2 linked regions of the Tribolium castaneum genome follow. The protein of the gene in region 1 purifies or fractionates together with the protein of each later gene. This does not show direct contact. Links are inferred from orthologs where the notes say so. Each region holds a gene or a part of one and is shown in the gene's direction. Other genes may lie near its edges.

Region 1 (3,706 bases):
ATGACGTCTGGAGACGCCGACCTAGTAGTCCTGGCCGGGGACTTAAATACCGAACCTGGAGATTTAGCCTACAGGATAATGTTGAGTGTTCCGGGACTTGTAGATGCGTTTGGTGAAGCTGGAGAAACGGTGCAGAATTGTGTGGCGACAAATGAAAGCCTCACTAATAGTTACACACCCGTGGCCTTACTCAAGAAAAACATTCCTGGCAAAAGAATCGACTATATCATGTATCATCCAGGCTCAAGTTTACAAATCGATTTAAAAAGCTACACATTGCCGTTACCACACAAAATCCCCGGATGTGCGTACAGTTACTCGGACCATGAAGCAATCGCTGCGACTTTAATCGTCACAAAGAGCGAGATAAGGTCGCTGAAAAGCGACCAACACATGAAGAAAACTGTCCTTGAAGAGAGCATAGAAATCTGTGATGACGCACTCAGGGGCTTGAATAACCATAAATATTTGTACTGGTTTTTTACGTTCGTTTTAATCGTGTTGCTGGTTACGACACTTGCAACTGACCTACCTTTCGGCTACAATCTGAATTTTATTTACCACATTTTGAAAATTTTAATCACCCTTTTTATGTTTTACACTTTGATGATGGCAACTATCTGGAATAAAATCGAACGTCATGCTGTGATTGCGGGCAAGTTGGGAATGGAGACAGCTTTGAGGAAATTAAAAGCCAAAGATTTGTAATTATATCAGGGCCAAAACAAGCTCAGTATTTTAAATCAAAGACCAACACCTGTTGCTCATTTTTTATTTGGTTTGTACGACTGTGATCGTTTCTGTACCACTGGTGAATAAAGTTTTCATTTTTTAACTGTTTGTACTTTTTTTCCCCGCCTATTTTTGAACTGAGCGCAACTTTGCCATCTGTTTGACGCTGATTGGTCGGCGAATTTGTGTTTATTCTCTTCATAAATGCGGTGTATTACGTGGTGTTCAAGAACTACAATAAAAATAATCTGATAATAAATGAAATACAGCCTAAGTAAACACCAATTTGAGTTAAGACTGTGGTGCTGAAGCTAGTGTTGTAAGAGTGCTGTGTAAAACTACTTCCGGATTTTGAGGTTAGGTATGTCATTTTATTTTGTCGGTCTCTAGAATTTTAATTATTTCATCGTGAAGTCGGCTTTTTTGTGCATTTTGTAGTAATAGCGTGTCGATAGTTGGGTAAGAGAGTGCGTTTTTGTCGATATTTGGCGTAATTTCGTAACTAATCGATTGGGAAGTGCGTTCACTAACCTTTCAGGTTAATTTTTTAAATTGGATTAGTCCCTGACTTATATTAGTAAATACTGCTTCCGTTTCGTCATCCTGTAATCACGACACATAATTAGTGCCCGGTTTGGTTTGCAGGACAATATATGATCACAAAATGCTTAGAAGTCTCGTTCCGGCAGTAATCACGTTATTGTTGATATTTTCGGCGGTAAAATGTGACGAAGTGGACGATTCTGACGAGGCTACTGTGGAAGTAGAACCGGAAGAATCACACATTGATATCCCCTACGAAAGTCCGAGCCCCCTTGACCCGAAAAAGGTCTATTTCGCCGAGCATTTCGACGATCCAGACCAGTTTGCGAAACGTTGGATAAAATCCCAAGCGAAGAAAGAAGGGATTTCCGAAGACATCGCAAAATACGACGGTGAATGGCAACTTGAACCAACCCAAAAAGACAGTCTAGTGGGCGACAAAGGTTTAGTGCTTAAATCAAAGGCTAAACACGCTGCTATTGCCTCCTCTCTCCTAAAACCGTTTATTTTTGATACTAAACCATTAATCGTGCAATATGAAGTAATATTCCAAGACGGCCAAGAATGTGGCGGAGCCTACTTGAAGCTGCTCACCCAGGACTCCGCCAGTAAAAACTTGAACAACTTCCACGATAAAACCCCCTACTCGATCATGTTCGGCCCCGACAAGTGCGGTAACGACCACAAGCTCCACTTTATCTTCAAGCACCGCAACCCTCTCAACGGGAGCGTCGAGGAAAAGCATTGCAAAAAACCCAAAGACCGCATTGAGGAAGTCTTCTCCGACAAACTCCCCCACTTGTTCACCCTTGTCCTGCACCCTGACAACACCTTCGAGATCCTAATCGACAACAAAGTGGTCAATTCGGGAAGTTTGCTTGAGGATTTCACCCCGGCAGTGAATCCTCCGAAAGAAATTGACGATCCTAATGACAAGAAACCTGAGGATTGGGATGAAAGGGAGAAAATCCCTGACCCAGATGCCGTGAAACCTGACGATTGGGATGAGGATGCGCCGGCTCAGATTGTTGATGAATCAGCGGTGAAACCGGAAGGTTGGCTGGATAATGAACCGTCGCATGTTTTCGATCCTGATGCAAAGAAACCAGAAGATTGGGATTCGGAAATGGACGGGGAGTGGGAACCACCGCTTATTGATAATCCCGCTTGTAAGGATGCTGTCGGGTGTGGGCCTTGGGAGCCCCCACTTATCAATAATCCCGATTATAAGGGGAAGTGGAGGGCGCCGCTTATCGATAATCCTAATTATAAGGGGAAGTGGAGGCCCAGGAGGATCCCCAATCCCGAGTTCTTCGAAGATAAGCATCCCTTTAAAATGCAGACTGTTGTAAGTAAATGGTTAAAAAATTATCTTGTTTATGTAACTGTAATTATTGGTGCCGATATGTTTACATTATTTTTTCTTCTTGTTCAAATTTATCAGTTGATTTTGTACACTATTAGAACATAGTTTACAAATCTGCAGTCAAAATTTGGCTGTCAGCTCTAGTTTCCTCTCCAGTTTCCAGAATTTGTGAAAAGTATATTTCGATATGCTTTGTACAAAAATAACAAATTCTGAGCTTCTAATTTTGTTAGCAATTTTTTTAGAGTGCCTAGGACAGTGAGAAAATGGTAAAAGAATTGCCTCTTGATAAAATTGAGCCAACTTGAAATTGACACATTTATTTTTGCGATTTTTTTTTATTATCTTTGGTTTTTGGCAGAATTGTAGTTGTTTAATTTCCATATTTTTACCGAAACTGCGTATTTGATTATTGCATTGTTGCCTTCAACAAAACATGTTGCAAAAAAGAATTGTTTGTGTCACTACAAAAGGATTTAGTTGCTATGTGAGATATGCTAACTAAGGAAGTAATATATACTTAGCCACACCCAATCGTTTTTATGCTTATTTTGGCGAATTTGCGTTCGTATTGTGATAAAAATGTTTTGTAAACCTAAATAAAGAATTGTATTTTTGCAATTCATTCAAGATTAATTTATCTTTGGACAAATAACTTTTTTCAGACCGCTGTTGGATTTGAGTTATGGTCAATGTCAAAGGACATTTTCTTCGACAATATTATTATTACCGACGATATTACCGTTGCGAACCATTGGGCAGACGCCACTTTTGAAAAAAAGAAGCAAAAGATCGCCAAGGATTCGGTTAGTATCTGTTTAATTTAAATGAATTTTATTATATTTGTGATTTTTTACTAAATAAGAGGACACTGTGGGGTCGTCTTATGAAAAAGTTAAACTATAAACCTGTACCGTGGTTCTTATATTTCGTTTATTGCGCCATACCGGTTTGTTGTTACATATGGTACCTCTACTTCTGCATTCAAGAGGTATTTTCGTACTGCTAGTTATAGTTTTCTTTGTTTTGACATAGGAAAGCGTAATTCAAAAATTAGCTACCTTG
Region 2 (3,318 bases), on another chromosome or scaffold:
GTTTCCAACAAACTTCTTGGGATTCTGTCGCCATGAGCAACCAACATGAATTTTTTTCCCTCAGTTTTACTTAAATGTACCATTGTTAACCTATTTATTGCACGCAAGTTTAATTTTTGGCTAATATACAAATGTCAGATCGCAAATAACAGTATTTTCAAAGCTACTTTTCCAGAAATCCAGAAATGAATTTTTGAATTTTTATTTTTTTACCTTTTAATAAAAATAAAGGTGGATATTCGTGCCATTAAAAAAAATTAAGTTAGCCTTCTATTTTCAAAATAAATGACGATAGAGATTTAAAAAACCTCTCAAATGATAGAATTTAAACATTTTTAACTGTTTCCCTAATTTCAAGGTTTTCTGTTAAACCGTTCTGAAAATATTTAACTGTATCCATACTTTTTAGCGACCCTGTATAAATGTATTAATAGAGATTTTTGGGAAATAATCTCTTTAAAGAATTAGCTGAAAGCCTCAACTAAAGGAAATGAAAATTTTGAAGCTAACTATTTTTTATTTAAAGGGAAATTAAAACAAAAAAATGTAAAATGTAGTAATGTAGTATACATAAAAAGTTTAGGGGATTTACCGGAGACTAGGTAGTACTCAGTCTGAAAATAAAAATTATAAAATTACTTACATCAAGAATGGAAGTGTTTGGCTTAAATTTAATTTTTGGCACTTTGGGACCATCTGTGAGATAATCTGCGTCCATAATCTCCACTTGACCACTGAAAAAGTTGCACATTTATTACCCCTTTGACCAAAATAATAGGAAAAACGTAACAAACAATGAAAAAAAACCGGGTTTGTTTATGTAATTTGTACACGTTAAATCAATATCGTTCATTGTCGCGGAAAATAAATAATTCAGCCTGAATTTTACACTATATTTAGCAGCAAGTACAATGACATTTTCATGGAAGAATTCTCTCACCTATTTATCAAACTTTGCAGCAAGGCTGCATACTGATGTTCAGTCTCGTAATCAGAATCGTCTTCGGACCCAGATCTCGAGTTCAGATCATTTTCTTCCATTCTCCTCGAAGTGTAAGATCCCATGGAATGTAGGGGTTGAAATTTTCACTCAGGACCGTAACAACACCTCATATATGCACCATAATACGGTCATGTAACGTGGTTACTTAACCGCTTACACAAACACTAAACAAAAATCGGTGGAAAGCACTAATGAAACGCAAAATTTTCCGAAATATTTTGCCAATTAAAAATGACAATATTTTGACAAAATGCGCATCACGTTGACGCAACCACTCAGGATTGCCAAAACATCGCTAATAAATTAAAACTAATCGACTTTCATTTTCACTCTTGAATTATTGCACATATAATACGTTTTGACCCAAAATGAGTGTTACATAATAATTTGGGCTAAAGGAAACTGGTTTCGCCACTTTCTCCCTGCCTTTGGTGACTTAGCGAGCGATTTTGGCACCACTGCGCGATTGTCACGTTGACAGTTGCGTTTTCGTGGAAGTGGAGCAGTGACGTGGATTTTCAATTCTTGGTTAGTTTTCTATTTTTCTATTAATTGATAACATAAACTCGTAAGATTATTACGATTTGCAATGGCACCGTCAAAAATCAATGTAAAAGAGCGCGTTTCTGATGGAGAAATTGACCTTAGCATGTCAGATTTACAAGATGTTCCTGTTAAAGAAATCGTAACGATGTTTCCACCTTAATTATGACATAAAAACGCCCCTTTGCTTTGCAGGCAGTGTTCAAGAAGGCCACCAGCTTGGACCTATCAAACAACCACTTGAAAACTTTGCCAGTAAGCGCCAAATCGTTGCTTCGAAAAGGCACAATTTCGCCATATTTTTGCGTTCCAGGGCAACTTCGCGACACTAACCCACCTAACGAAGCTCGATCTGAGCAAGAACCAGCTGAGCGAGCTACCGGAGGATTTCGGGGATTTGGTCAAGCTTAAGTATCTTGATTTGTACCAAAACCAACTGCAATACCTGCCTCTGAGCTTCCACAAGTTCAAGGCTCTGAAGTGGTTGGATTTGAAAGATAACCCCTTGGTGCCAGCGGTCGCCAAAGTCGCAGGGCCTTGTCTGGACGCCAAACAGTGTCAGAGTTGTGCAAAGGATGTTGTGAGTTTCTTCACTCAAGTGCAGGAGCAGATCGCTAATGATTTAGAAAGTCGGCAAAAGCAACGACAGAAGCAGCTTGAAGTGAATCAGAAACAAATGGATAACAACAAGAAGAGTAAAAAGAAGGAGAAGACCAAACAGAAAAAGGAAAACGGGCCTGTTAAAGAAAACCCGCCAAAGTTAGCGAACAAAAAGAATAAAAAAGCGCCACCTTCGCCGAAGAATACTGGAAAAGCGTCCTCTTTCATTAAATTGATTTTTACGTTATTATTTCTTACTTTGTCGGTTCTGTTTGTGTTAACTTCTGTAAAATATGAACGTACGCGTACTATTGAAAATTCTTGTGTAGACTTGTATTACAAGGCTGTTGATTCTTTGTCTCCTAATTTGAAGGTTTATGCAACCACTGTGGGGAGTTATGTGAGGTTTGCTCATGACAAAACTGGGAATGTTACACTTAATGTTGTGAATTATGTTAAAAATTCCGACAATTTTGTAAATGCATATGATACCTGTAGTAAGTATGTAGATACAATGGTCCAGAAAGTTAAAGAACAGTACAAGAAGATTGTTTCTTGAAAGTTCAGACATTCTTTTTGAATAAAAACTAAAAACCAAACGTTGTTTTATTAATTCAGTAACAAAATAAGTTAAAATTCCATTACCATAACCACAGCCCTAAGAGTTTTTCCAATAATTTTTAAATTTGTAACAAATCTATTCGACGACAAAAATTAATTCAAGTTAAATTACATAACAAAATAAATAACACTTTGCCCGGTTAGTTTGTATAATAAGTAAAAATGCATCTTTTATTTCGTATTTCCATATGGAACAGACCCTTGAGTGGTGAAATAATTTACAGAAGAATCTTCCGTAACTGACAAACTTCTAAATACTAGTGTGATACGAAGAACAAACTGCAAGTTGGGAATAGACGTATCAGGGGAATTTTTCAGGATGTTCGTTGACATTTCAAAGAATTTATAAAAAAAAATGTCCTTTAAACAGTCGTTGACTAGTAATGGCATTAACCCACACGTTTGTTTTTCATTTTTCTGCAATGTTAGAAAATTAAAAAGCACAAACATATCGGTCGCTAAAAGTGCAGAGCGCACAGTTAACTATTTCATTGGGTAACATTTAAATTGGTCTATTAAAAAATCGCTAGTGAGCAGAGGGCTATAAATAG

What was found.
Region 2: the proteins of calnexin (region 1) and leucine-rich repeat-containing protein 59 purify together in Homo sapiens (affinity purification with mass spectrometry; 3 studies listed by BioGRID and IntAct, with this or other methods). This does not show direct contact. The link is inferred for Tribolium castaneum from reciprocal best matches to the Homo sapiens genes CANX and LRRC59.

The regions. Positions count from the first base shown.
Region 1 is NC_087402.1:5,190,068-5,193,773, reverse strand, and holds the start of calnexin, read left to right. Parts: upstream 1-892; 5' UTR 893-1,088; exon of another isoform or gene 1,089-1,093; intron 1,094-1,096; exon of another isoform or gene 1,097-1,191; intron 1,192-1,377; 5' UTR 1,378-1,396; coding exon 1,397-2,623; intron 2,624-3,306; coding exon 3,307-3,447; intron 3,448-3,676; coding exon 3,677-3,706. Other genes in the region: nSMase (putative neutral sphingomyelinase), read left to right, coding at 1-708. UniProt on the Homo sapiens protein: Calcium-binding protein that interacts with newly synthesized monoglucosylated glycoproteins in the endoplasmic reticulum. It may act in assisting protein assembly and/or in the retention within the ER of unassembled protein subunits.
Region 2 is NC_087394.1:31,265,341-31,268,658, forward strand, and holds leucine-rich repeat-containing protein 59, read left to right. Parts: upstream 1-1,537; 5' UTR 1,538-1,592; coding exon 1,593-1,688; intron 1,689-1,741; coding exon 1,742-1,801; intron 1,802-1,859; coding exon 1,860-2,705; 3' UTR 2,706-2,745; downstream 2,746-3,318. Other genes in the region: DDB1- and CUL4-associated factor 11, read right to left, coding at 644-734, 941-1,065.